Linked DNA regions of Alligator mississippiensis. The protein of the gene in region 3 interacts with the protein of the main gene of each other region in a pairwise test. Links are inferred from orthologs where the notes say so. Each region holds a gene or a part of one and is shown on either strand. Other genes may lie near its edges.

What was found.
Region 1: the proteins of NDEL1 (region 3) and MBIP interact in binary tests that used the Homo sapiens proteins (3 or more experiments, as listed by UniProt). The two-hybrid records come from large-scale screens. The link is inferred for Alligator mississippiensis from reciprocal best matches to the Homo sapiens genes NDEL1 and MBIP.
Region 2: the proteins of NDEL1 (region 3) and MLLT10 interact in a two-hybrid assay, tested with the Homo sapiens proteins (2 studies listed by BioGRID and IntAct). The link is inferred for Alligator mississippiensis from reciprocal best matches to the Homo sapiens genes NDEL1 and MLLT10.
Region 4: the proteins of NDEL1 (region 3) and CCSER2 interact in binary tests that used the Homo sapiens proteins (3 or more experiments, as listed by UniProt). The link is inferred for Alligator mississippiensis from reciprocal best matches to the Homo sapiens genes NDEL1 and CCSER2.

Annotation. Positions count from the first base shown.
Region 1 is NC_081825.1:257,639,506-257,647,010, forward strand, and holds the start of MBIP (MAP3K12-binding inhibitory protein 1), read right to left. Parts: upstream 3,196-7,505; 5' UTR 3,154-3,195; coding exon 3,028-3,153; intron 1-3,027. UniProt on the Homo sapiens protein: Inhibits the MAP3K12 activity to induce the activation of the JNK/SAPK pathway. Component of the ATAC complex, a complex with histone acetyltransferase activity on histones H3 and H4.
Region 2 is NC_081828.1:185,212,927-185,220,245, reverse strand, and holds the start of MLLT10 (protein AF-10), read right to left. Parts: upstream 3,118-7,319; 5' UTR 2,726-3,117; intron 1-2,725. UniProt on the Homo sapiens protein: Probably involved in transcriptional regulation. In vitro or as fusion protein with KMT2A/MLL1 has transactivation activity. Binds to cruciform DNA.
Region 3 is NC_081831.1:21,681,347-21,689,519, reverse strand, and holds the start of NDEL1 (nuclear distribution protein nudE-like 1), read left to right. Parts: upstream 1-5,047; 5' UTR 5,048-5,184; intron 5,185-8,173. UniProt on the Homo sapiens protein: Required for organization of the cellular microtubule array and microtubule anchoring at the centrosome. May regulate microtubule organization at least in part by targeting the microtubule severing protein KATNA1 to the centrosome.
Region 4 is NC_081829.1:45,685,287-45,692,513, reverse strand, and holds the start of CCSER2 (serine-rich coiled-coil domain-containing protein 2), read left to right. Parts: upstream 1-4,188; 5' UTR 4,189-4,331; intron 4,332-7,227. UniProt on the Homo sapiens protein: Microtubule-binding protein which might play a role in microtubule bundling.

The DNA.
Region 1 (7,505 bases), on a different chromosome or scaffold from region 3:
TGCTCTAACAGGGATTGTCTAATGCAGTGTTTCCCAATCAGCGTGCTGTCAGAAATGAACAGGTGTGCCACAGAATTTTGCCATGGCAATGAGCTACAATAGGTATGAGAATGGGGAATGCCTCAACAGGTGTGACATGGAAAATGTTTATTACTGTAAGTGTGCCTTGGGCTGGAAAAGGTTGGGAAACACTGGTCTAATGGCACCAAATATTATGGGTATGTATTTACTTCTTGATGACTTCAAAATATATTTTTTAAAGGGGGCAGACATTTGAAGGTTAAAATATGCAAGAAAAAAATCTAAAAGCACACTATACAGAAAGAGATTCAAATGTAAATAAAGTAAATATACAGGACTGCTAGCAGTAGTTTGGAGGCAAAGCAATTAAAATACTAAAATGACTGGGTAAGCACTGGAACTGTCTTAATACTACTCCTATCTGGAAAGGAGCCTGATCCTCCATTCTTTATGCAGGGAGAACGGCTGGATTAAGTTTAAAATCAGGCCCCAAGTCAATCTGCAGGAAAGCAGATGGGGTTAGCAATTCTTATGAAGGCAGAAAAACTAGTGACCTAAATAGCAAGTTTATACAACTTTTTTCTATTTACCAAACTACTAAAAACACATAACATAGGCTAAACTTTCAATCTTTTTGTTCACATTCATATAATACATATCATAAATCTCTCTCAAGCAAGAGGTTTTCCTCTTTTCAATGCTCAATCTAAACCCTGGATAGCAAGTGGGGGGAAAACATGTTTTTAGACCCTAGGCTAATGTTAGAATACCTCATTTACTCAAGAAAATGAAGTTTTACTTATTTCTCTAAGCCAGCATTACCAATCACATACCTACATGTGCACACAGCCTGAGCTGTTCTATCTCCCCCACTCCACAAAAAGGACACAGTGTTTTGAAAACTACTCATGATTTTTGTTATCCTGTCAGTGGAGGCAGAGATTTGCATTTAACAGATTAAAAACATGCTTCCCTCAAAGTTCCCCAGAGAATCTTTTTTGCTGAGAATAAAGTAACAACTATACATTTCATTCGGGCTTCTATATAGATATTTCAACATATGAAAATTTAGCAAGGTTTCTGAATGGGAATAACTTGGAGATTAGCAGTTTAAAAAGCTAAAGAGGCATGCTTATTCAAGCAGCTTTCAAATTACAAGTAAAGAATAATCCCTATAGCAAAGCTAAACCCTATTAATCCACACTTTTGTATATACTAGTGTGCTAGCCTTACACAATGTCTTTGTATAGTGTGATAAGTGGACTATAATGTTTGTGTTTGATACTAGTTATTGCAGCTGCTACACTTTCATTGGCTGATGGTCTATTTTGCAGCAGTTTACAGTACGAGTAAGCCACTCCATCACAAAAGATATCCCTATGTGTCCCAACAGTAGACTGTGTTTTAGACTAGAACCACCTTGTTGTGAAATAAAATTGCTGTGGCTAAATTCTGTTAAGCCCCCTCACTCACTTCTCCATAGTGAAAACACTAGGATTCTGAACCTAGATGCAGCACCAACATGGCCAGGCTTTGAATAACTTGTGAAACACTAAAAGCAGTAATAGAAACTACTGTTTTTAAAACGGTTAATAGCCTTGCAGCTAATTTAGACTGTGGCTGTAGCCATGGTGATCCAGAAAATAGACAAAAAGCAAGGGATTTCTGATTACATCTTTTACTAGACTAACTGCATAGTTGGGATCTCTCTTTTAAGCCGGTGGACAGATTGTGTCATCTTTAGGAATGTGGCTGATCTTTTGTTTTTCACATAAGTTTAAAGATTTGATATTTTGGTTGCACTGTATAGTACAAGAAGAAAAAAGTGATTTCAGAATAGGAGACACATTGTGATGGCCAGAAAAGAGGAATTCTTCACTCCACTCAGTTCCTTTAATTAACAAAGAATTAGTACAGATGTTGGGAGGCATGTCTAATAGCAAAATGCTAACTAATCTTCACAAAATTCCAGTTGGAAAGGTAGGCAAGTGTTCTTATTCATTTTATAGATAGGAAAACTGAAAGAATGTGGGCTTTAATCTTTAGATTTTCAGGTCCTTAATGCTGCAGTCCCTCAGTATTGGAGAGCCAAGATGTTTACGGGCCTGAGCGATATGAAGCAGCTGTCATACCTGCTTCACTTGACCAGTACGGCCTGTGCAACTACCAAAAACAAAAAAAAAAAGGTATTGTCAGACTGCAGCGAGTTAGACCAGCAGACAACTGAGCAAACTTATATCTGAGGCTACTGAGTTCTACAGAAAACAGCCACCAAGCTGCACACGTTTCCCATTCTTTCCACTCACTCTTAAGTCATTGCTTACAATCCTGGGACCCTGCAAAATTCACAAACAAGAACTGGGGAAGCTCAGGCTGCAAGGCACCAGGAGCACCGAGCGAGCCTGCCTCTCCAGGAGCCACAACATCCTGACCAGGGCTCCCCCAGTCCCTTAAAGCACCATTTTTCAACCCATGGGTTGTGACCCAAAAGTGGGTCACAAGAATATAGAAAAAGGGTCAGGAACAAACTTTAAAAAAGGATTCTCCTTCAAAGGAGAAAAACGTGGGAAACCATGGCTTTCCCCTCGCAGGCTGGCAGAGCTCCAGCCTGCGAGGAGTTGCTCTGCCTCTGCTCCACACACTGGGGGGGGGCTGGAGCCTGGGGGCAACGGGTCAGGACTGGCCACCGATGTTTACAAATGGGCCCTGACACAGAAAAGGATGAGAAGCGCTGCCTTAAGGGAGCTTCGCGGGGCCCCCACGAACACGCTCGCGGGCGGCATGAGCCCGAGGAAGGGGCGGGCGCCGGCCCATAGTCAGGGCGCCCACGACCAGACAACCAAGTGACCGACCCCGGAAGGGCCCCGCCCCGCCCCGGGGAGGCGCGAAGCGGCGACCCGAGCCCGGGGAACCCCAGCGGGGAGCGCCCCCTGGCCCCGCCGGGCGCTGCGAGAAGGGGGAGGGTGCGCAGCCAGCGAGACTTGCCCGGCCCGGCCCCGCACAGACCTGCCCCGCCAACTCGGCCAGGGAGCGCAGGGCACCGCTCAACGCCTCCCCAGCCGTCGGGCCGGCGCCAACCTCCGAGTCGCAGGCATAGGCAGGACAGTCACTGAGCTCCACCACGGCCGCCATAACAGCAGGCTAAGGCCAGGGCCGGGCCCCGCCTCCCGCTGCCGGCGCGCGGCGATGACGGGTCACGCGAGCCCGGACCGCCACCCCGCCCACCAGCCTGACGGGCAGGCTCCGCAGCCAATCCGTGGTTCCCGCCGCTGCGAGGCGGGTCTTGCGGCTCCGGGAGCGTCTCCGCTTTGGCGTTCGCAGCGCTGACCCCGAAAGGGTTAAAAACTGCTGAGGCTGGTCCTCCCCTTGCCTCGCCGGGGCTGCGGCGCGAGAGCGGCAGTGACAGGAGGCTGTGGCCTGGCGAGGGCCCTGCCCTATCCTGTCCCGCCCCCACCCAGCGGAGCTGCAGCGCCTTGGGCGCCCGCCGGGGAGCATGGGGCTTGCCGTGCCCCGAGGCCCTGAGAGGGGCCCGCCTCTTGCTTGTTCCTGTGGCAGCGCCCCCGCGAGGGTAGCTCTTCCCGGCCCTGGCCTCTGTATCATGAGGCCCCCACAGCCCCTTCCCCACCCCCCCACCTCCAACGGTGCTAACACAAATCATCCGCTCTCATTAGCCCGCAGGTGACCCGGGTCGGTCGGTCGTGGTCTCCACAGCATGGCTCTTGCAGGCTTTCGTGTTCTCTGCTGATGCCAAGGGGTGGGCAAGGGCCCCCTGGGGGCAGCCAGTCTTCCCCCTTGGTGCCTGGCCTTTTGGCACCCCAAAGGCCTGGTATAGATATAAGTGTTTGAAAACCGGCCAGTACCTGTAACAGAACAGTTCAGCATGCACAGACTGATTTAAAAATGGCAGAACCCAGTGTAGGATTTGCGCATCACCCCCACGGGCAATTGTGTGTGCTGTTCACTGCCGATCTCTAGAATCGTAGAAAACGAGGGTTGGACTAGGTGACCAAGAGGTCATCTAACCACCCCCCTGCTCAAAGCAGGACCGTCCCTAACTAGATCATCCCGGCCAAGGCTTTGTCTAGCCAGGTATTGAAAACCTCCAAGGATGGAGGTTCCACCACCTCTCTGGGTAACTTGTTCCAGCATTTTACTACCCTCCTGGTGAGAAAATTCTTCCTAATGTCCAACCTAAACTTCCCTTGCTGCAACTTGAGACCATTGCTCCTTGTTCTGTCATCTGCCACCACCCTCTTTCTAACCCCCCTTCAGGTAGTTGAAGGCTGCTATTTAATCACCTTTCAGTCTTCTCTTCTCCCTCAGCCTCTCCTCAAAAGTCATGAGACTTACAGAAAATTGCACAACAGATTGAATCTGCCTTGAGCTTTTTGTATGTAGCCGAATTGCTGGCTTTCCTGTGCAATGGCTTGTTCTCCATGGTCTTTATGTGCCTCTGGATTTGAGAGTCATTCTGTCATGGTAGGATCTGCCTGGTGCCTTGGGTCCACCTAGGCTGTACTGTAGAGCAGTGTGACTCCTGTCCCTGTCTCCACCCTAGCCCTGCCACTTGTAAGAACACAGCAACTTGAGTTCAAGAACCTTGTTATTTTGACATGCTGGGTAAATAAATAGGCTTACACCATAAGGACAAGGGCTCGTTCTATTACAGCCTCATTTTCATTCCCTGTTGCATCCAGGATGTCTCTGGGGGATTTTATCCAGAGAAGTGCAAGAGAAGCCAAAGCAAGTTCTTCAAGCCATACACTGGTTTCTTGGGATGTTATCAATCAGGCAGTATTAACAAGAACAACCCCATACAGCAGAGAATAAACAAACATACTCACTACCAGTGGCAAGGTCTCAGGACCCTCAGAATTTGTCCTCAGGGTTTGACACACATTTCAGACTTCCACCCCTCAGCCTTTGTGTGTGGTGGGGTTATACAGTTTAGGTTCAGATTTGTGTATTCCTGCCCATTCCTATGAAATAAGGATCTCTTGGCTAATTCACTAGGGAGCAGGGAAACTGAGTCATGGTCTATGACCATTGTTTTTTCCTAGGGTCCCCTTATTAGCATTGGGTGTGATCAACGGCCTATGAATCTCAACTCCCTTGAAAATCCCTCACAACCCACTTCTCTCGCATGCCAAACGTGATTCAGACTGAACTGCTTCTAGAATCAGAGTATCTGGGTCTGAAGGGGCCTTGTGGAAGATGTGTAACCTGGGTGGCTATCATCTTGTCCCCATCCGCATTTGCTGCTGATGAAATGGCTTCTGTAGTTCTCACCACCAAAGGTTAGCAACATGTAGATCTGCCCTGTGGAGACTTGTGTCTAGACTGCATAGTTGAGGTGGAAGGGGTCTTTGCCCACACCACAGTTGGGTGATGGGGGTTGCCCACACTGTATTACAACTGTACAGCAGGAAGAAGTGGCAACACTGGGGCTTTGCTTGCACTGCATTTAGCAGCAAGGGCCATGTTGGAAGCACTGGCCTACCTCCAACCCAACCTTGTCAACCATGGCTTTCAATGACCTGAGTTACTGGGCATCAGGTAACCTGGGTTCATAGGGTTGTAGGACTGGACTGGATAAGACCTTGTGAAGTCATCTAATCCAGACCCCTGCTCAAGGCAGGATCATGCCTGACTAAACCATCCCAGCCAAGTGTCTCTCCAGCCTACTTTTGAAAATTGCCACTGATGGAGATTCCAGAACTACTCTATTTAGCAAAAAATTCCTTCTAATATCCAATCTAAAATTCCTCTGCTGCTCTTGAGGTCATTGTTCCTAGCCCTGTCCCTTATGGCCACAGAGAATAGTCTGTCTCCATCCACCCTGTAACTGGCCTTCAGGCTGTTAACAACCCACCCCTCTGTCTTCTCTTCTCCAGATTAAATAACCATAGATCTTTCAGCCTTTCTTCATGTCATGCTTTCTAAGCCCCTAATAATTTTTGTTGCCCTCTACTGGACTCTTTCCAATCTGTTCACAACTTTCTTAAAAGTGTGGGTTCCCAAACTGGACATGGTACATGAGGTGCAGCCTTACCAAAGCCAAATAGAATGGAAGAATCACTTCCCTAATGAAAGCCCTTACACAGGTTTCCTAGGTAACATTGTTGAGAGTCTTGAAGCTTCAGAGTTTGCCTTTGCTGCAAGAATAGCTGTGTTTTTACTCCAGGATAACTAATACAATGAAGACAGATTTTCCAAGAAATGAACTCACAGAGATGGTGGCGTAGGGTTGACCTAGGTGAGTTTACCTCACAGTACAAGTGCTTTTTTTCATTGTGTTCTTCCATTGGGATATTTCATGCATGTTTTTACCCAGAGGTAAAAAGATACATTTTAGTAGTGAAGATGAGGCTTCAGTTTCATTATATGCAACATGAGGATACCACTGATGCCTGTTAAAAGCAGTATGTCAGTGGCCTGGTGCTACTTGCTTCTAGCTGACTGGTGTTGTTTAAGGGAATGTCAGGGGAAATGTTGCTAGTAAGGAGTTGCTGCTCTTACCAGGTGTTGCTGAAAATGAGCATTGCCTGTGATAATCTTTTTCTACCTCACAAGGAAATTGTAAAGCTAATAAAAAAAAATTGTAAACCAGCTTGAGATGTTTTAATAAAGGTAGTAGGAAACCAAATTAAATGAGTTTTAGTACTGTCTTTACTGTCTATTACTGATATTAATGCAAGTATTTCTAAAGCTTCTCTCACTGGACAAACCTTTACATGGCTTAACTTAGTGTAAACACTTCTGAGGAAATAGGCTGTACTTAATGTTTCCCTGTGCAAATAAGCAAAATACCCAAAGCAACTGAAATGAATAAACACTGGCCATCTTCACAGAAAAAAAAATACAGGGAGCTTATAATGCCCACCATTTGCAAACAGAACAAAAAGCTGTGTTTTTCATGAAGGTCTGAAATGGGCTATACTTGGGATCACTTGGATTTCTAAGAGGCAGGGCAAACTTTTGGGAGATGAAAAGCCTGTTTTTATAGGTCTTCCTGATCTGTGAGCTATAAGTGCAAAGGACAATCTCCATTTTGTATTTAAAAAGTGCATCTTCATGAAAAGTGTCTTAGAAGAAAGAACTAAAAATGCAAATTCAGAATAAAAAACAGAGATTGTGTGTGTGTGTGTGTGTGTGTGTGTGTGTGGGCCTCTTGAAGGCTCAGATCAAGTGTAATATCCGTCTCAAAACACTTATTTGATCTCTCTCTACTGGCTGGATTGAAATCTAGAACCAAAAATTAGCTACTGAAACAGACTTTTTTCTGATTCTTACAGCATCTCCTTTGGGACAGACAGCTAAATCTCTTTGCACAATTTAAGTATTCTACCAAAAATATATATCTTTAGATTAAAAAGGAAAAAAGGACAAACCCTACAGCACTTTGAAACTCATGTGGAAGTGACCTGGTAGCCAGTGCAGGGTATAAAACACAAATGAAATAGTTTGCAGGGGTTTAGGTTGTA
Region 2 (7,319 bases), on a different chromosome or scaffold from region 3:
CCTTTCTCCGATCTTGACAGGCGCTAGCTGCAGCCTGCCTGAATCTTGCTATTCCGCTCTTTCATTGAAGCCTTCCGGCTCCCCCCGCCTGCCTGCACCCTCCTGGCCCGCTCTCCCCTCGCCGCAGCCGCCCAGACCCAGGGGATCCCGGCGCTGGGGCCGCTCCACCGCCCCTCCTCGCTGCAGGCCGGGGCCCTCCCCCCCCCCCGCAGCTCGGACCACTAGGTGCTGCATCCGCAGCCTGGCCTGCAACCAAGTGTTATTTCTGTGAAACCTGCAACGACTGTTTTTTCCCAGGATTTCTGCTTATTAATCAACACCCTTCACTCCAGCTCGGCTTTTTTCCATGCCCGGTGGATTTTGGGGGGGGGAGGGGCTCACTGACTTGTAATTATATTTTTAATCAGCCTCTTCCTCGCTTCAAATTTGTATGTAGATCAAGCATTTACCACAAAACCCGAAAAACGGGACCCAAAGCAGCGCTTACTACTCAAGCAGCTGATTATTGAAATGTAGCAAAACAGACGAGCTTTTAATTTTTTTTTTAATTAAAGGCTAGGGTTAGAAATCACTGTATTTTGAAGCCTTTTCACCTTGCCGCATATTTTTGTCCCTGAAAACCTGCTTCTACCACCAAAGCCCTGTTCATAGCTGGCAGGCCAAAAATATGAACCGATTGAAAAGTAAGACGTGAGGATTTTGTGGGGGGGGGGGGGGATCTCAAAGCTACTCGCAGAGGGGTGAGGGGTCGCAGTCAGGAAAACCGGGACTCGATTTAAATAATTGCATAACGTTAGGGTTTAACTCGTACATGTTTACATTTGGGTGTTTTGATTAATGCCACATTTGATTTTTCACCGATTTCCTTAAAAGCCCCTGACACGGTACTTTTAAAACACACGAGAGATTAACGTTTGCCAAGAATATTCAACAGGCAAATCCTCTCCTGCCTTGCCCAAACACATATCTGTAAGTCTATAATGCCTCTCAATTGATTTGAGCAACGCCCCTCTCTCTGGCCTCAACTCCTCTTCTGCTATAGTCTGGAAGGGTCAAAAAGTCTCTCCCTCCACTTGTTATTTAAATCTAGTACTTAGCAACATGGGCTCTCCAGGTGCGGCGACCGGCTCCGTCCTGTTTTAAAAGTCATCTGGACCCCCTTTTTTTTGCGCTGAAACTTGTTTTTCTCCCGCATTGTTTCCTACAGCACAAGCGCCTGGGGGCTCTGGCTGCGCTCCCCGCCCCCGCGGCCCGGACCCTGCAGCCCCGTCTTGCCCGAGTCTGAGGGGCTCCGGGGAGGGGCGCGGAGCCGGGTCCCGCCCGCGGGGGCTGCCCCGAGCCCCCCCCCAGATGCCATCACACGCGCTCCAACACGTCTGCTCTGCTCCGCTCCGCACGGCTCGGGGCCACGATGCTTCACACGCTGCCAAGCCCACGTGTGCACGCCCAGCTCCTCCGCGCCGGCTCAGGCCCCCAGCCCTGCGGGGCCAGGAGGAGATCCCACCCCCAGCGCACACCCTCCCGGGAGCCTGCCCGGTGTCGGGGCCGGCTGCCACTTCCTGGGTGCCCGCTGGCCCGGGCGCTACAAGGGGCCCCGAGCCGGAGGGGAGGGGGTAGCGGGAGGCTCGAGCTCGGCACGAGCGCGGCCGGCGCGGGGAATTGTGGGTAAGAAAGTGCCCGGGCGGCAAAAGGAAGCAGCGGGAGGAGGGGAGGGGAGGAGAGGGGAGAGGGTGAAAGGTCAGCAGCCGGGAGCCCCGCGCTGGGTGCCCACGTGAGGGGAAGCGGCGGCCGCACATTGTTCTGCGGGCGCCCATGCGGGGGGCTCCTGGCCCGGCCGTGCGGGGCAACACCCACCGACAAAGCCTTGCATTTGCCTGGCAACGAGCGGGGTGGGGGCGGCTTCCCGCATCCCCGGGAGGAAGATAAACACCAAGCATGCGTCTCCCTCCCCACGAGAGGGACTGCAGGGTGCGGGGCTGCCTCGGGCTGGGGGGAACGGGGCTTGTCTCCAGCGCGGCCCCACCCAACGTGGCAGCTCTTTGTGCTGCTGCCCGGCCCCGGGGCTCGCAGCCCCCCGGACCGGGGAAACGTGTTTTTTTCAGAGAGGGCTGTTTGTTTGCCCTCTCACCCCCCCTCCTCCACACACACCCCCACCCCCACCTCGCTGCAATTTATTTGATTTGCAAATAATTGCGCGAATGTTTATTTTTGCGCCCCTGCTTCCTTTCTTCCCTCCTTGCGGGTGAACGCCGGAGCTCATTACTGGGGACGCGTTTTCATTCAGTCTTTACTAATTTTTTTTGAGCGCCGGAAACAATAGTCCTGGCTTTGGGGATCCCTGAAATTCTAGGGAAAGGTCCGATCCAGACTGCCGCGAGCTCCGCTCCACTTCTCTCGGGGAGGGGAGGGGAGGGAGGGAGGGCTACGTGGGGAGTTTTGGCTCCCCCTGAAATGATGAACAACTTCTGGAGCAGCGCGGCTGCTGGGACTCTCCCTCCCAGTAAACATGTTTTTATTTAAATTGCTCAGTAACTTTCTCATTATTTCTTAAACCCAAGCCCTGCCACCCAGCTCCTAGAGGCAAAGTTAAGCGAGTCCAGCCCCAGCCCTGCACAATCAGCTGCAAATGGAGGAAGAAAATGTAAAATGTCCAAATGGAGAAGTGGTTCCCTTTGTTCTTTCATTGTTTCTCTACGAACTGACGGATACAAGCACAAACACTTACCTTCTCTCCTTTTTGCTCCAAAAACCAGACGTTCCCATCAGCTTTAAAATACACAATCCACCTTGGAAGCGACTACAAATGTCGGGAGAGTTTGTATTCCATTCTTTTTCGCTCTCTGCCCTTTTTAGTGTAAGATTAAGTTGCCGAGCACGTTGTTGCAAGCTGTAGCCCCCCGCCTTAGTGAATGGTCACGTTTAGGACCCTCCAAGTCCATCCTAATTCTGCCAGTAGAATCGAGGGTATTGGAGGTCTAAACTTTCAAAAGGAAAAGGGCCTACAACTCTGCAGCAACTCTGCAAATACAGTCGCCTTTGCCACTACATTCTGGTTCGAGTAAACAGAAATCAGCATTTCTCCTGGGATATTTAAATTTTTTTAAGTTTAAATTTAGCGGTGGTGTTCCTTTAGGCAAAAAGTGCTAAGAGACAATTTGGTGTAAAGGCACAGTCTACATCACGATATACCACAGCCTGTAATATCTTGGGCTTTAAAAAATAAACAAGGGCATCGTGCAGAAATATTGGATATAAAGTTGAAATTACCATGGCAGCTGGGGGGGGGGGGGAGGGGGTCTCTGCAGTATCACACAGAATCGTGGGTTTACAAAGTGTCTCTTCCATGGCAGAAATATTGTTTTGCGTTTTGCAATATGCTTCTAAGCCACTTAAAAGCACCCCTTTTTTCTTATTTCTTTGTAGTCCTCTCTGGGTCTAGTACCCAGCCATACAGGCAGTACTCCCCCAAACCTTGCTTTAATTTGATTATGACCAGATTTGCTGATACGATGAATATTTGAAATGATCCTTGTGTCTTAGTAACTGGGATAAATTTTCAGGCTCCTGTTTCCAAGGATCCAAGATGCAAGGGAAACAGGAGCTAATTGGAGACTAAGTTCCTCTGGGCCCTTTCAGAGGCTTGGCTGGGTTCTGGTCAGGAAGTCGGAACCATAAGATCACAGACCCCTTTCTCTAACGCCCAAGGGCGCTGCATTAATTCAGCCCAACTCCTCCAGGCTGTGGTTGGAGTTGGGTACTTTCGCGCCTTTTACCATTGCATCTCCAGGCATGTAGCCATTAAAAATAAACAAATACAACATGTAGGTGATCCAAGTAATTGGGGAACTGGGAGTATGTGTTATCTAACCGCCCCCCCCCCCCAACTTAACCTTAATACCATTCCGGAAGGCTCTTCTATTTCATAAGAAAATATGACAATAAACAAGGTAAATAGGGGCGGGGGAGTGGCTTTTCTTTGATAGCGTTTAATTGGAATTGAAACATTCTGGAGCTGTAAACATTCTTTATTTATTCAGCACACATAAGCGGGCATTGTTTTATCACCATCATAATTATGGTGTCCTTTAAACTGACTGATAGCAGAAGAGATAAGGGAATGTGCCTGTGGCTTCAGATCAAATCGCTCGCTCGCTCTCTCCTCTCCCTGGGTCACCAGGATCCACACAGTCCTTGGAGATGAGGAACGCCGGAAGATTGTGGCCTGGCCATCCCTTACGTCATGAAAGTGATTTGTACCACATTGCTAATTTGGTGCAATCCATAACCTTCTGATCTCCTATGTTTGCAATTGCTTTTCAGCTTGCAGAATCTGTTTTTCCAGGATACAGTCCTTGAATATAAAAATGAATACAGAGCACCTGCGTGTAAGAAATAATCTTATTCCCCTCTGTTTGTTGCCTTACCTTTGTCTAATTAAAAAACGCAAACTTTTAGGATCCTTCCAGAACAAAGCCTCACCAAATCCCCTTTACGTCCAAGGATTTGCAAATTTATAAAGGCTGCATTGAATTCAGGATGGGTCAAGGGGCAAAAAAAGGGTAGAAGGTCAGTGCATTTTGATTATGGGTCAGTAGACAACATGGCATGCAGTATGTGTCCAAAAACTCCTGTTAAAAACCTGTATTTTAAAACAGCCAAGACTATCAACATCAAGTAAGACTGTTATTTTGTGCTTTTTATGCACCGTACAACGTTCTGGTGCATAAGTAGTACAGCCATGTAGAAAATAAAACTTAAAAACGTGCAACAATACCTCCTTGCTTTGTTTACAAAGAAATAACTCACAGGCGTGATGATGCTAGATAAATTATGCTATGATTTTTGGACTGTCAGCTGGGATTTATCTTCCACATATTTGACTAATTTAGTTATACCTTCTTATTTTTGCTAACTTAGAATTTACAACAAGTTTTAAGCACTACAGTCACACTGGGCCGGCTTTAAAATAGCAGAAGGACCCTATTATAGTGTTCTTTGACCCTATTATATTTACTTTACTGGACTCTTTGTGATAGCCTCGCACTGTTTTCTGTCTGTAGCCTCTTTGAAGAAAATATGCATAGTGATATCTAAAACAGTGCTAAGGTTAGAAAATATACTTCTCATTTAAATTATATATTTCTACATCATGGCTCATGAAAGGAAAAGGTTTATTTAATGCTTGTCAATACCTGAAGATACAGTCTGGCACTTAACAAATAATAATAAATAATAATACTCTAATAATGTGGCAATCCTAGTGTGAAAATGCACATGACCCCGTAGGTTTTCCTGAAGGTTTTCAAAAGAAGTCTTTCCATTAGTCCAACTGCTGCTGGATATTGCTGTTGCATTTCCCAACTAAACGTTTAAAAGACTGTAAATGGTGTGTGCATTACTTAGCTCCAGAAGGAAGAGGTCAGGCTGAATCGCAGTGGTATTTAAACATCATCATAAAATGAAAATAAATCAGAACACATCAAAAAGGATTTTAAACGTTATATATACGTCTTCTTTTTGTGAAGCGATATAGTTACACGTTTACTGCAAACCTGGATCTTTTAACACGAGTTTACAAACATCAAAGTATGGAATCTGTTGTAAGTAGGAATAGGTCCACAGCAGCATATTATTCATATTATTTTCTACAGAGGTTTATTCTTCGGCCAGCCAGTTGGCAAACTTAAATACTACCTACGAGAGGGTGTAGATTGCAGATTGCACGCTACTCATCGTGAAAAGGAGCACATTTGATTGATAGCCTCCGTGTGTGTGCGTGTGTATACACACGCAACTATATATAGTTGCGTGTGTATATGTGTTTAGCAAAATGGGCACTATAGACGTTCTGTACTAAAGAAATGTGAGACAAACATCCATCTTTTTAATCGTGTTCATCGTTGATTTTAAGTGAGGCTGACACGGTCAACAAAATTGCCAGACACTACCTTGCTTTTGAGAGATAGCAATATATACAGCTGGATCTACACACGCGCGCGCGCGCGCACACACACACACACATACACACACACCAAGTAAGTAAATTATTGCATAACTTTTACTGTAATTGATAACAGACACCTTTAATTTTTCATTTTCATTCTTTTGCCCTGCTTTCACATTAATAATCTAAGCCATAAATGTTGGTAGCTATTGATCGCAATCCCTTGTGTGCGTGGAAATCCATTTTAGAGTCCCCTGCCTTTAATGGGTGTGTGCGTGCGTGCGTGTGCCAGGGGCCTCCGTCACATCTCGCTAGCAGGATCTACCCCCAATGTGCCTGAAGAAGACCCCGGATATACAACGTGTGCTGATGGCCCCATGAAAGCTGCCTGGTTCATTTTGCACAACAAAATGATGGAGAAGTTAAAGAAACAAAAGCGTCTGTGTGTGATGTGGAGAAAGCCCTGCAACTGAAACTGTGTGTGTGTGAGTGTGTGTGAGTATATTGTGTACATTTTGTGTGTGTGTGTGTGTAACGATATTGTGTACATGTGTGTATATATGTATAACATTTCCTAAAGACTTCTAGCTTTTTTTTCCTCTATCAACATTTGGCTCTGGCTAACCCCAGAAGCTCATGGCTGTACCTTTCTGAAAAGATAGGTTTGGCAAAAAGCCGCTACTAAGTTTAAAACATTTGATAGCGCCTGTATTAAACAAACAAAAAGCATGCATTTTTTAAATAGTTCCTGGATCCCATTGCCAGACTATCATCTGGAGTAAAAGAGAGTGTTTGGATTTAAACATGAGTCGAGGACAACCGAACTACCTGGCAAAGTAATGACTTGTGAGCCCACCTTTTTTTCTGTAATGTCTTCTTAAAAGCTTTCTCGGAGTTTACGGTTTCTTTACTGTTTGACTCCATAGCCTTAACCTTAAAGCAGGGGGAGGAGAGCCGCGGGGAGGGGGTGGGGGTGCCAGCAGCATATAAGTGCATCAGGAGGAATTTTTAAACGACCTTATTGTCTCTAGCTCTAGGAAGACTACGATGATTTCTTTTTAACACCAGCAGCTGTTTTCCCTCGAAACTTTGCTTTCAGCTATAGAATATAACATGATGTCTCTTGTGCGAGCGAGAAAGAAAAATGTACGCTGATAGATCCAGATGCAGAGCAAAAGAAGGCTAACTCTGTGGATGGTATTAGCTGTGACGAGGCATTGTTCACTGCTGCCTCTCGGTTACGTTTAAAGGCTGAAATATCACGAGATCCATTCAATGATCCTTTTCTAATTCAAGGGACAAAATGTAATTTGCTCTAGCTCTGATTTCTTGGATGGGAATACTATCCTTAGATTTCAAAGGGAAGAACTAGACA
Region 3 (8,173 bases):
AATGCATTTCAGTAGAGCTGTGGCTCTATTGAAGTCAATAGAATTATGCCAATTTGCATCAGTTAAGGATATGATCTGACCCACCAGTTTTACTCTGCTGTTTTATTTTACAAAAGCTTCTCTTACAGTGGTTCTCAATCTCTTTAGACTCAAGGCACCCTTTAGAAAATGGCAGCTCTTAAGTGTTTTGACTACAGAAAAATAATGGAACAGTTCTTCTGTTGCAAAGAAGTCTGCAAGACCATACATAAGAATGTTTTTGATAGGGGTGCACTGATAGAGATTTTTGGGGGTTAGCTGATACTGATCCAATTTCTGATACAGCTGCTGGTAAGTCTGTTGTGGTGGACGGGGAGGGGGGAGGGCAGATCAATAGCCCCTGTGGTGAGAGAGGGAGTGGGGCAGGGGCTGGGACAGGTGCTGCCTAGCCAGGGCAGGGAGCAGGACAGGGCCGTGGCTTGTCTGGGGGGCACGGAACAGCTCCTGCTGTTGTGCACACCCTGGGAGGGCATGGGGGGCATGCCCTGGATCTGTGCAGGGGGGGCTGCAGTTGTGGGCTGGGGCACCAGTTGCAGAGCCAGGGGAGCATGGGGGCCCATGGCTCCTTCCCCCCCAGGCAGACCTGGAAGCGGACCAGAAGTACTTCCGGTCCACTTCTGGATTTGCTGCCATGCATGTGGAGGGCCAGCCCGCACTCCTGTGGGACGCTCCATCCACCCCAGCATCGCAGCATTCACAAGCAGTGCTGGCACCTCAAGGTATGTAGAAAAAACTTTTAAAGCTGTGTCTATGGCTGAATCGCTGATTCTCTGAATCAGCATCGAATCTTCAGATTCAGATTCAACAGAATCAAATTGGGACAGTGATCTGAATCAATGAATCGAATCACTGTCCCTGATTTGGATCAAATCCGAATCAATTAGGGCCTGCTTTGCACACCCCTGTTAGTTTTGCTAGTAAAGGACATCCAAGATGCACAATGTGCCTTTCACAACATTTCAAGTGAGACAGTAGACAGGATGTGATTGTGAGGCAGCTATCAGCTGCTTTGCTTCCTGTCTTTAAATCACATTTCCTGTCTTTTGCTTCCATTTACATAAAGCAGCTGAATCTTGAACTCTCAGAAAAACCGCTGAGTTGAATTAATGCTGGAAAATGGTTATTTTTTCATTACATTTACTGAGCAATCAATCAGCTGCTATCATGTGTTAGCAATCACACCACCCTATTTTGGCCCCACCATCATATCTCTGTGCAACCCAACTACTGTCCTTTGCAGTTCTATACTCAGGCAGCCCATGCTCCTCTACTGTACCTGAAGTACTTTACCAAGAGAGAGAGCTCTTTGGTGCTTACTTTTGCTTCCACAGCAAGGATGGGTATCTCCTCCACTCTGCAGCATAATAATGCAGCAGGGAAAATGTTACTAAAAAGGGTCAGAACAGAAGGAAACCCCAGACAAGAATACAAAAGCTGAGGGGATACAGAACAAATATGGGGATCCAGATGCGGCTTAGACCAACTATGAGAACATAACAGAGTACTGGGGAGGAGGATGAAAGCCTAACTTCAGAAGGGGTAAGAGTCATAATTGCAGTGCTGGATTAAGAATTTTTAGGATTTTGGATCCAAAGAGCACGGCACCCAGAGATGACTGTCCTGACCACCACACATATTTTCCAATATTAACTATGTAACCAAATATGAAAAAGGCATACAAATAAGAAAGTGCTACATTTATCATATTTCAAATGACCTTTAAAAAAAATGTAGGCTGAAAAGCTCTTGTATGATGTTACTAAAGTCCAGTTGTCATACCAGTTGTGGTTCATTTACTCTAGGATATAAAGCATTTAGTTATCTCTGTTGCATTCTTGATTTAAGCTCATTTTTTATCCTAGCCATGTTCAAGAATGTATGCTTTCTTTCAGTTTGTGATAGGCAGTGTCAGAAAAATCTCCAGGGTGATGTCCACATTAGGGAATACTGATTGAAGGCCTCTCTGTCTTAGGTCTTCTAGCAGCTTGGCTGGAGATTCATTATGAAAACTTTCAAAGTTCAAGTTTTGCGGGTAAAGTGCAGCAAATGCAGCAGTACACTTGTGAATGCCAGGGATGTACACACCAACTGCTGAAACTTCCTTAGTCTGACAAAGGGTTTTTGAACCCGAAAGCTTGCTTAATAACTATTCTCCAACCATTTGGGTTGGTCTAATAAAAGATATCAAATCCACCCAAGGAACCTTGTCTGCCTATGTCCTTAGACCAACACGGCTAAAACCTACACCCCTGCAGGGATGTGCAATGGGCTGAGTTCAAACAGAACTCCAAAACTGTCAGTCAGCATCTTATAAGCATCATTATTACTGTGAAGACTAGTAGATTGTTAATTAAAAGACTGAATGTTTCCAAACAAAAACATGTTGTCTTCCTTGCAGTAAGGTCTCAGGCTGTCCTGATTTATCTTCACATTCTTTACTCTTTTACAGCACAACTCACTTTGATATTTTTGGGAGATGGCTTTGCATATGTTCATAGCAGTGTTTTCAAAACTGTCAAATTCTTCTTTTGGGGCAGCCACAAAATGATTGTACTGGCCACAGCAGGTGAGCTCCTGTACTAAGATAGCTATGTGTTCTTTGTAACTGTATGCTGGTCACTTTAAATTGCTGAAGCACTATGTCCCAAAATTGGAGAAGTCAGATCACAGCCTGGCTCTGCAACACTTCAACACATACCCCATTCATTACCATCTTCTTTGGTATAGGGTGACCACTTTTTCAAAATGGAAAGGCGGGAGGGACACATGCCTGCCTCTTCCTCAGACCCCACACCTCTGGAAGCAGTACAGCTGGAGCAGAGCGTGCAGCCTACATCTGCCCTTGCCCCATGCACAAACCTGGAGGTGAGGGGGGGCACTCCCTGGGAGTGTGCAGCAGCAGAGAGCTAGCCACCCTGGTTGAGCTACCTGTGGCTCTGTCTTGCTCCATGCCTCAGCCTCGGGCACTGCCCCAGCTGGGCAGTGCTCCCAACCCCTGCCCCATTCCTTCCCTCATTGCGGGGGCCTCGGTCTCTTATCCTCTACCTCCCTCTTATCCCCCCCCCCCCCCCCCATAGTGATACCTGCAGAGAGCTGCTCTCTGCACTGCTTGGTTGTATTCCTGGCCATGTGTATGTGTGCAGGCACACACATGTGTACATCCAACTCCCAGCAGCCTACTTTCCGCAGTTTTCCTTGGTGAATGGAAATCCCGGATCCCTGCACGACACTGTGAATCCAGGACAAATGCTGTCCCAGAGTCAAGTAGCCCAGGATCAGGACTTGATGTTCCCATTCTGAGACTGTCCTGCCCAATTAAGGATGGGTGGTCACCCTACTTTGGTATCATGGCCAGCTTCCTTGTTCAGTAAATACCCTGCTGGTTGCAGCTGTGTGCAAGTGTTTGCCGAGTACACTGCTCCTCCACCTGTGTGTAGTCACTGCATTATCTGTAAAGAACCTAGTACTGCTTTGCTATCTCAAGAGCAAACAGTGAGCTAAGACCAGATCACTCTGGAGCAACAGTTAGAGGAGGCTGTGCCCTGGTTCTAGTCCTTCTGGCGTTGAGCACTTGGTTTTCCTCGTCTCTGGCCATGAGCCCATTCTTCAGCTATGGACATTGCTAGTGTCTGCAAGCCCTACTAATTGTAGGGTGAGGGTTAGTGAACTTCTGCATGCCTCAAAAAACACTCCAGTACCCAGTCCGCTACCTTGCTGCTAAAAGTGGCAGCAGTCCGACTTACAGGGTTTGAATTACACTTTGACCCTTGGGAGGGAGGAGGGACTGCAAAAATAATTGGGCTGCCCCTCACAATACCCTAATGAAATTGGAACTCCTCCAGGTTATGTTTTCAAAACTTACAGGGGGGGATCATCTCTTATGTGGGGGCTAAGCCCCCCTGAAATTCAAACCCTGCCTACCGAGTTTTCACCAAACCCTGACCCATCAAAGATGCAGAGACCTAGCACGTTAACTACCTCCTACTTCTCTAACGTGGTCCTGGGTATGACCGTGAACTGCATCCGACTAGAGGGTTTGATAGCAATATGGTGGGACAGCTCCTACCAAATACCACAGTGTTGCAACATCCAGAGTAAGGTGAGTATAGGGCGCCTCAAAACCCTGGCCCTTGCTCCTGGGTTGGAGTCAGGCTATGGGACATCACCTGACAAAATGCACCCTCGCTGAGGGCCGAGGCAGTCGGTGGCTCTAACCCGTTTCCCTCTGGCAGCAGCTACGGCCATTGAGACACTGATTGTCTGGACGCAGCCTGGCCTTCAGACTCCGTCTCAATGGTCTGAAGGGGGATGGCTGGTCTGGGGCAGCCCCACCCTCTTGCCCAGGTGGACACATTGGAGGTCTCAGTGAGGGCTGCAGGACTTTTTTTTTTTTAAAGAAATTTTTCTAAGACAAATCAAGTCCAAATCCATGAGTCAGTCCAGAACTATAAGTGTCCCTACAACCGGCCGACATCCTCCATCCCCACCGGGGGCTTCAGATATTTCCAGTCTCTTGGCAGGTGTCCTACGTGCAGGCCCAAGCCCGGAGCCTGGATGCCCCCGGGTTCCGCCTGCCCTCAGCCACACGGCTGCAGGAGCAAGCTAGGGAGGAGCCACCCATTTCCATAAAGAGGGCTTTAACCCCAACCCCTCGGCGGGTCCTGAGCAGTGCTCCCGGGAGCGCCTCTGGCAGACGGCCGCCCCGGACCCAGACGCGCGCAGGGGCTGGCTCGCTCCCCCCGCCCCACGCCACAAGGAACCCGAGGCAGCGCCAAGGCGCCTGCGCAGCCCTTCTCGGGGCGGGGCTGCCTGCCTTTCCGGAGGGTGCCCTAGGAGAGAGCCAAGACAGCCTCGTCCCAACCCGACCCCTCCTGCCCGAAGTGACTCGTACAGCAGCTGCGGCGAAGGAGCCGGGCAGCCGGCGGGCCTAGGCGTGCAGCGAGCAGCAGCACAACGACCCGCTGCCAAGGCGAGGGCTCCGCCCCATGGCTCCTCCCGCCTGGCCCGGCCCCGTCCCTGTGACGTCACGGCGGAGGCCCCGCCCCGCGGCTTGTCGTCACGGCGCGGCCCCGCCCTCCGCAGTCCCCGGATGAGGCAGGGCTCGGAGCCGGGAGCGGTCGGGGCGATGGTGCTGTTGTGACAGAGGTGAGCGGCGGCTGGCTGGGACAGCTGTGGGTGGCGGCGCCCGAGCGCGGGGGGCGGCGGCCAAGGGGGCACCGGCGGGGGTCGGGGCGGGGGTCGGGGCGGAGGGGCTGGGGGGGGCGCGGGGCCCGCTCCTTAGCCCGCTGCGGATTGGATGTGAAGTGACAACGGGGCAGGGCCCGCCTCCTCTGCTCATTGGCGGGGAGCGGAGCCTGCGCGGGCGCGGATTGGGCGAGGCGCTGTCAGTCCCCGGTGCCCGGGTCGGCCCCGCCCTTTCTGCTTTCCCGGCGGGGCTGTGCTCCCCCCGGGGGAGGGGGGGGCGCCCCGCCGGGGCCTCCCCGCCTCGTGCCCTGCGTTGCCCCGCCACCGTCCCCGAGACCCGCAGCGCGCCCCGGGCCCGCCGCCCCTCTAGACAGGGGGCAGAGAAGGAGGCCTTCGGTGCCTCGGGTCGTAGCTTCTGCCAGAGAGCGACGGGGCTGTACCCAGGTAGCGAGGTTGCCTGGTAAAAAGACAGGCCCAGACCCTGCGTTGGGCTGGGCACCCGGAAAATCAGCTCTGTCCTTCGGACCTGAAACCCTGGGGGTGATATAGGACGCTGGCCTTTGCAGTCTCGTCACATGTGTTTGACTCACAGCCGGCGTGGTGCTGCCGTGGCAGGCGCACGGGCGCAGACAGGCTGTGGTCAAGCATCCAGGCAACAGTGGGCAAGCCCCGTCCTCGTGCTGCTCCACCGCGACTGACTGATGCAATAATGAACGTAACTCATCCTTTTCACATAGCACAGCAGTTAAAAAAAACCCAAACTCTATCCAGTGTGACTAGACTTTTCTAGCATGTTTGACATTTATGGCTGGTGAAGTGTTTCTGAGTCATGGCATTGCTTTTCCTTTTCTTTCCTCTTTTAAACTTGAGTTTATGAAACGTGTTGCTGGGTTTGCCATGGAATCTGTCTGTCCTTAATCTTCTGTGTTTAGGGAAAGGGAGGGGCCTGCAAAATGTTTGCTGTCAGATGGTTGCTAGGATACATAAATATATTCATGATGTCAAATGCATTTTCAGCAAATTATTAAAAATAATATTTTTGTTCCATCAGAGGAAAGAGCAGATTTAGGAGTTTAGCACACGCATCAAAAGAGTATTTACTAAAAGGGTATACGATGGTTCTGTTAGTGTCATAAATGTAGATCTTACAAATGAACTCATAGTCCTTGCTGCAGAGATTTTAAAGGAGAAGGTATAACAGATCCATTAGGGAGAGATCAGTCAGCACTTTGAAATTCTTTTGATAAACCATCTTCAGTCTTCTCCCCACCTACTCACATTGCTGTGTTCCAGCCACATCCTTTGAAGCAGGACTATTGCAGCCTGTCTGTTGACAAAGTTTCTTAATCAGGAGTTGCTACTATGTTGCTATTACAGTTTCTGCCCTTTCCTTCATGTCTTTGAAGCAGACTGTTTTCTTCGTTGCACATTGATATCTGCTCCCTGAGTGAGACATCTTTAATTGGATTGACACTTATAAAAGGGAAGTTTACATTATTGGCTATCAGCTTTTTTTGGCTGTTGTAGCCAATAATGTTCTTTGATAATTATGCCTCTGGATGCCTGGGTTTCCTTCTCTGGATACACCCATATCCCCTCACTGGTGGGCTGGGCTGGGCTGGGCTGGAGTGGAGCAGCTACTGCAGTGTCCTGGGTGCTGGTATGGTGCGGTGTGGACTGTGGGCTGGGGCCAGGACAGGTGCTGTAAAAGGTGCCGAATGCTGCAGATATGACTGGGACAGGGAGGGACGGGTAGAGTTGAGCTGCCTGGTCCAGCATGACCCAGTCCACATTTAGTATCTGTTATTGGATTGGTATTGGCTGATATGGCTGGTTAATAATTGGCTATCCAGTATTGGCCAAGAAAATCTTTATCGGTGCACCCCTAGTTTTAAATGCATTGAAATATCTCCGAGCAGAATGTTTTATATATTATAGGATTAATTTCCTACAGCTGTAATTGCAGGGTTTTGTTTTTTTTTTTGGATCTTTTAATTCAACGCAATCTAATGGTCACAAACTGTTAAGAACTTGATCTTGTTTAATAAAAATACAGAATTCACATTTTGTAAGTGTGACGTTTACAGGCTTGACATCTATGAAATGTTTGCTCTTAATGGTTTAGTTTACATTAGTATTGAAAACTATGGGATGGTCCAGCTTGTCTAAAATGAAAGTTTTATCTATCTAATCAAGTTTATCTGACAGTAAATGGAGTGTGAGCATCTTGAGAAAAAGATTGTGATTTTAAGCAGGAAATCATAGAAGTCGGGTCGGAAGGGACCTTGTAGATCTTCAGGTCCGACCCCCTGCCTGGGCAGGAGGAAAACTGGGCTCAGTTGACCCCAGTCAGGTAGGCATCAAGCCGCTTCTTAAAGACCCCCAGGGTAGGAGCCAGCACCACTTCCCTTGGAAGTTGGCTCCAGATCCTAGCTGCCCTAACTGTGAAGTAGTTCTTACGGATGTCTAACCTAAACCTACTCTCCAACAACTTGTGGCCGTTATTCCTTGTTATCCCGGGGGGCACTAGGGGAAACAAGGTCTCCCCCAAACCCTTCTGGTCCCCCCTAGTGAGTTTATAAATGGTCACCAGGCCCCACTTCAACCTTCTCTTGTGAAGGCTGAACAGGTTCAGGTCCTGTAGCCTCTCATTGTAGGGTCTGCCCTGCTGTCCCCGGATCATGCGGGTGGCCCTCCTTTGGACCTTCTCAATGTTGTCCACATCCCTCTTGAAGTGGGGTGCCCAGAACTGGACACAGTACTCCAGCTGCGGCCTGACCAGTGTCGCGTAGAGGGGGAGGATCACCTCCTTGGACCTACTTGAGATGCACCTGTGGATGCACGATAAGGTCCGGTTAGCCCTGCTGACCGTGACCTCGCATTGTCGGCCCATGTTCATCTTGGAGTCAATGATGACTCCAAGATCCCTTTCTGCCTCCGTTTTCTTAAG
Region 4 (7,227 bases), on a different chromosome or scaffold from region 3:
ACTTGGGATCTCACCAGTCCAAGGTACTTGGGTTGCAAAGCTGACAGGTAAAGTTCGTAGCACAATCCTCGAAGGGAGACGATCTATTCTTCCAGCGTCCCAAGAACAACAGGGGATGGTGTCAGCACACACGATTTTTCTTCTTGAAGCACCCACACTGCTGCTTTTTTTTTTTTTACAGATTTTTATACCGTCAGTTTAGCTGTTTCGAAGCATTCTCAACAGTGTAAATCATTGTCTTTTCTATTGACAAGGGGTTATCTGGTTTGGAACATCTCAAGAAACTGATTGATAATCAGGAAACACATGAGGTTAGGGAGTAAGCAGATACTTGGGAGCCAGCTTGAAATTCCTACGGATAGCAGATATACTGATGGGATATCTCATGGTTTCTTCAGAAACAATAGATAGCTTGCAGCATCAGGATTTTTGATTTTTACTTGTTGTGAACAAGCCTCAACTTAGCATGACTTTTCTAGATCTTACTATGGTCTTTTAACAGACTTAAGACAATTATTGGGGTGTTTATAACCTTTGGGCAGGAGGACTCCCACCAGTCATCCCGGGAAAAGTATGACAACACCTATGGTTAGGGCTCCAATGGGCTGGACGCTGCGATGAACCCCTTTACCATTGTTCAAATGTTGCCCATACCCCCTCTGACTCGGTCTCTTGCCTCAGCATTCCCTAACCTGGCAACTGAGTTTTAGTCAATCAAGTTTAAATAGGCCTCCCATAGTGGGACCGGGGAATGTACGGCCCGAGATGCCTATTAAACTTAGAGATGTATGTATGTCTGGGGGGGAAAGTCCTTTGTAAATCCACATTAGAACTGGTCTGATAAATGCTGAGCTGGGTGTGTGTGAACATGGGTTGATTAGCATTTGGAACACAGATTCCCCATCATACAGTGCTCCCCTGCTTCTCTGATCCCAGAATTCACTGCAGTCTCTGCTTCAGACTTTCTGTTTTCCATCTCTCATGTAAATGAATGGTCATCTGGTTCCATCTCAGATGCAAATGGGACCTAGGGCAGTTGTTTTACTCTTGTCACCCTTATCTGGAGGGTCTTAGGTGTGTGTCTCACTGCATCTTAATCAGTTTTGTTTGTGTAGAAGAGGGGAGGAGGGGTGAGTCCTTTGTGAGTCAGACAGGCTGTGTCATGTGCCAGGGTTGCCCAAGAACACAGAGCTGAGACGTAACAACACACAATGGCAGTAGGGGTTAAAGAGTCTTGATGCAGGGGCTGAAGTCCAGGAGGAGAGAGAGAGTCCAAGTTGTAGGAGGAAGTGTGAGGGTCATATCTAACTATCCCAGGCTGAAGGTTGGTCCTCAATGGCCAGTCGGGGTCTCCTTCAGCTTGGTGTTGTCCAGTTGCCGCCAGGACCTCTAGGGTGGATAGGCGGCATGATGTGGACTGGTCCGGATGGAAAATGGTGTTCCCACTGGGTCTATCTTCACTGCCCCCTTTTATAGGGGAAGACCTTCCATAACCCCAGTGGCAGGGGGCCTGCCCAGGCTAGGGCCAGCCCCTGGTGGACTGAGCATGTGCATTCTAGGTCAGGACATGCAGTTTCAGGTGTCTGTAATGGTGGCTTGGGTGGGATCTGCAGCAGTCTTTGTCTTTCAAATCTTGAGCCAGGGAGGGTCAATGCAGAGTGATGCTTGCATTGTGGAGTTGATGGTTCAGTCATTCATCTATTTTTAGACCTATTGCCATTATCTCTCAAGCACCCGTATTATCCCCATTCATCCAGGCACTGATTTACATAGGAGGGGTAGGTATGAGTCATAGGTTACAACATCAGGGGACACAAGACGGAGGCTTGACATTAGAAGATGGAAACTTGACATTACTTGACGTTACTTTACAGACACAGGCCTAAACCATACAGTATTAACAAAGAGACACTTAAGACACAATAACCATACAGTATAATACATTATAGTAATCCAACACACACAGTAAAGCACTATTACAATAGCTCATGGTTACTATAAAAGGGGACTTATGTACACAGGGTTTCAACTTAACTTATAACTACTCATGTGTATATATATATATATATATATATAAATATATATATATGTACACAAACACACACACACACACCCCTATAGGGAATAGAGGAGGGGAGAGAAAAAGGCAGAAATGATGGGGAAAAGGGGTGTCATATTTTTAAGTAAATAAAGAAAAAGAAAAAACCTGGGGGTTTTGTTACAATCCAAAATTCAATAGTAGGTACTGTCACCCTGTGGCCACTAAATTGACTGAAATTGATAAAACCACCAACAGCAGAACAACAAAGCTTTGGTCAGAGTTTAGAATTGGCTGCTCTAAGAACCTTTTTCAATTATTACCAGGCATCCCAATGACTTTGCATTCTGAATTAGTGATCAAACTCTTAAGAACAGGGTTAAATCAACCGTGCCCTTCTCTTTGGTAATCAGATAGGGTGATGACTTCTGGAGATAGTGAGGAGGTTTGGAACAGTAAAGGTTCTTAAAGAAGTAGGAAAAAAAAACCAACCACTAATTGAAACATTTACAAAAAACTCCATCACACTAAGACATATGGCAATTTCTGATGCAGGGCAGGAATGAAGAGATGAAGTTGGTACTGTGACCTTTGAAAAAGCATTGCAGGTGACTAGGTGTGACTTAGCCAGTACATAGGCCACCATACAGGATACTGAATGGAGAGTGAGCATTATATACCAAGAGGAAAAGCTGTCTGCAGAAATTTCAGAATAGGTATGTAAGAGGATGCTATCTCTCTCCTGACACCGTCTTACAGCTCTTTTTAAGTAGAAGCATTGCTCCATCCTATGAAGTCCCACTGACTTAAAGGACAGAAACTTGACAAGATTCTAGGTGTTGATACATGAGCAAAAATCCTAGTTTTGGAGAGGATACTATGGATGTTTTAGTGGTAGCAGTTAAGGTATATTACTGACTAAGCAGGGGAACATATAGAGTAAGTCCTAATGCTCAGTGGTTGAAAGTGACTCAGAGGATTATTATTTTGTGGTCAAATTGGTGGTGCAGAACTCAGGAAATTTGGGTTCATTTTCTGTTTTAATCTCTCTGATGTTGCACAAAGACTTTCAGGAAGTTATGACAATGACTTTGAATCATCTACATTTACTAATGCTTCAAGGGTTTGTGTCCCCACACCCAGCACTCCATGTGGACAGTAGTGGCTCTAGGGGAGGGAAAACTGGGTGACTGCCTGGGGCCCGCATTTTATACAGATAAAAATGAATTACATTAATTTGTTGTATTTTGCAATATTTATTGTAATATTGTAATTAATACTTGTATTATCAATATTGTTTTAAGATACTTTTATTGCAATTGCATGGACAGGGCAAAGTGAAATTGAAAATGTCTGACTTGCTTATAGGGCCATCAAACATGAGTCTCTAAGGGGCCCCAAATAACTCTTGTCCAGGGCCCCAACAACCCTAAGGTCACCACTGATGAGGCCTTGGGTCAGACTCCAAAGGATGCTTTGCAGCAGGCCAAGAAATTATAGGTATTTCCAGTGCCTGGACTGCACCTGAAAGCAGCTTTGATACCCTTGAGCAATGCCCCCAACTTCTAGGGAGGGACTGGCGCAAATGATGCTTTATCGGAGGACTTTCCCCTGCTTATACACGGGCATTGCTTGGCAATTCTGTACGGCCTTTTTTCCTGTGGAGAAAAAGGACCACAGACGAAAAGCAAGATGCTGTTGCATTCAGTGCTTCAACCCCACAGAGCAAAACAGAGACTTTGCCAAAAACAAGGCAAAGCAAATGCTGAGGTGTGGCAGGAGCTAAATCCCTCTAGCTCGGAGGGACGGGTGTTCAAAAAGAAGCTGCCCGGCGCTGCGGCACAGCACTAAGATTAAAAAAAAGTGCGGGAGGTTATGAACAAGCGGAGGCTGTTGGAGATCCCGCAGGGTCCCTTTGTGAGCTGAAAATGGCCAGGGCCTGGGGCCAGCTGGAGAAGGATGAGGCGACAGCAGCAGGTTTGGCACGAGTAGGGGGAGACCTAGGCTGGGGCTGGCAGAGACTGCGCTAGGTGGGCCCAGGCAGACGCGGAAAAGCCGTTGCAACCTCGCACACAGAGCGGCGCCCGGGCACGTCCTAGCCCCCACCCTGCCGGCCTCGCGCGGCCCCAGCGCCTGCGCAGTCACACGGCGTGACGTCAGTGTCAGCTGGGCGCGCCGGAGGTAGCCGAGTTCCGGGGTGTGCGCGGAGGAGGCCAACGGCAACGGCAACCACAACCCGCTTGGGACATTGGTCGCTGCGGGGCGTGGAGCCGGGACCCTCCACCTCTCCCCGGTGAGTGCAGCGCGGAGCGGCCGGGCTGCGGCGGCGGGGAGGGGGGGATCCTGGAGCCGCCCGGCCCGAGTGGTGTGCAGTGATGCCTGTGGGGCGTGCTGCTGCTCGCCACAGCCCTCGCTGCGGTCCACAGGTGCGGGTCACCCCGGCGCTGTCTGCTGCCCCGCGCTTCCCTCCCCTCGGCCGCCGGGAGGACATCGGCATCCCCTGCCCCGGGAGTTGTCTCATGCCGTTTAAACCTGGCTTATCCCTTGTGCCACCCGAGCTGCTGGGAAGGCCCTGGGCATGACTAGGGCGGCGCGGGGGAGCCGCCCCTGGCCAGGATAGTGCTGCAGGATCGGGGCTGGCTGCTAGGCCTGAAGGAAAGGCCCCAGTAGAGCTGCCGGGCTTGTTATCCCTCCTGGTTCCTGGCAGCAAAAGAGGGCTCCCCCCCCCCCCCCCCACTCTTTAACCAGACTTCCCTCCCCCAGCACCTGCTGGACGTTTGCGTTCTGGCAAACATACCTCCATGGGCTTGGGCTATGAAGCTTGGGCACCTGCCACCCTTCATATCACCTCTGGGGAGGTTGTGCTGTCTGTCTTCAGTGAAGGATACCAGGTTGAATGGGAGCCGGATGATCTATTGGAACCCAAGGCTCCAGTCTAGACAAATTGTGAAGGTGAGGGGGGGGGAGAACTCTGGACCATGTGTAGATATGGGAACCCCCAGCGCTTAGAAGAGCTCAGCTTTGCAGAAGTGACATAACTGCTTGTTAGCGCAGATCCTCCTACCATGGGAAAAGAACTGATGACATCTGACTTGGTAGTTAAAATGAATCAGGGGAAAGACCCCCCCCCCAAACAAACAAACAAAACAAACCCAACAAAAACAACAACCCAGGAGTGGACAAGGAGAAGTTTATGAAGCTGCTCTTTGTGGAAAAGGGAGATGAACTCTAATCACATATTTAACAAGTTCAGTTGCAATTAGCTTATTTCCAGGAGGATCCGCCTTTACGAAACAAAACTAAGTGCAATGGCTAGTTCACCAGAGCTGCATTTTGGGACTGAAGGATATTATTTAAAAAAAAATACTTCATCAATACTTCACCAGTACTTCATTATCCTCATAGTGAGAAAATTATCCCTAATATCCAATTTAAACTTCTCACTGCAACTTGAGACCATTGCTCCTTGCTCTATCATCTGCCCCCACTAAGAACACTCTAGCTCCATCCTCTTTAAAACCACCCTTCAGGACTTGAAGACTGCTATCAAATCCCCCCTTAGTCTTCTCTTCTGCAGACTAAATAAACTCAGTTCCCTCAGCCTCCCCTCAGAAATCGTGTGCCCCAGCCCCCTAACCATTTTTATTACCCTCCACTGGACTCTCTCCAATTCGTCCACGTCCTTTCTGTGGTGGGGACCCCAAACTGGACACAGTACTCCAGGACTGTGGCTTCACCAGTGCTGAATAGAGGGGAAGAATCACTTCCCTTAATCTGCTGGCAAAGTTCCTACTAATGTAGCCTAGCATGTTAGCTTTCATTGCAACAAGGACACATTTGGTGTGTATGCATGCATTTAAGGTATCTTACAGTGAGGTTTCTTACTCTCATGAGTAGGGATCCTGGTTTTCTCTGATTAAAAAAAAAAAAAAATCACTCCCCCCTCCCCTTCCACCACACCTGACTTATCACCTAGAGGCAGGCTGATATGTCTCCTTAAATATCGGCTATCGATATTGTCCCCCCAAAATCTCTGTCAGTGCACCCCTACCATTTACTTTATTTTTCCTCCCCTAAACCCATAGTCAGAAAACTTTTATCAATAATTCTGAAGTGTGATCAACAGGGCCGTCCACTTAATAAGACTGGCTTCTAAGTTAGGATATCGAGAGGTGATTTTTTGAGGAAAGCATATTAAGCAAATCAAAATTATTTATGGTGTTTTGAACTATTAGACTACAGAATTCTTTTTCTTAATAAAAAGATTATTATAGACAGCTCTAAGCATCTGAACACAAGATTCACATGACAATGAAGTCCCAGCAAAATTAAAACCTTCACTCAAGAAAAGGAGTTTAGCTAATTGGACTGTACCCCAGTGCTTTCCAAAAGTCCTATCAGATCACTGTCTCTTGCATACTGTCCAGAAGTTCACCAAAAATTAGGCTAGTTTGGACAAGGGGAAAAACAAGTTCCAGTATCCTGAGCCCCTCCTGCCAGATGAGAGGGTCTCTTGAGGCATTCAGCTTGGCCACTTTGTAGCTGTGCTATTTCAGCATGGGAGGAGAGGCAATCCTGTAGTCAGGCTGGTCTTAGACCATTTGCAGCTCTGCAGTCATTTTTCCTGTAATGTGACTGAGCAACAGTTGGGCATCCAGAATAACTTCTTATTTTCAAATTTTATTAACTAATGGTGGATTTATTCCTTCAGTTAAAGGAACTGATTCTTTTTGCTTCTGTCCCTGCTGTTATCACTTCAGACAGCTTGCTCAGATTGGGCATGTACAAGAACTAGGCTCTAACTGAGGTGCTATGGTCAGTGTCATCCATATACTGAATATGCCTTTTCCAGGTCTCCTCACTAACCATACTAATGGTTCTACATACACTCTTGAATGGATAATTTAGAAATAAATGTGTTATAGACTTTCTTATGAACAAATAAATATCTGCAAATGTGCTTCCACAAAAGAACTTCCATATTTATTTGAAACAATAAATAGTTTTTCTGCTGTTTAAAACCACAGCAAAGTGAACAACTTATATTTTAGATGTCACTGAAGTAACAGGTTTGGCTGCTTTTATAATAGTGCTTCTATCGGTGTTAAATGTCTAATGTACGCAAGGCTGAAAAGAAGAGATACCCCCCTCCCCCCCTTCATAAAATTTGGTGGCTGGCAAATCTGCCT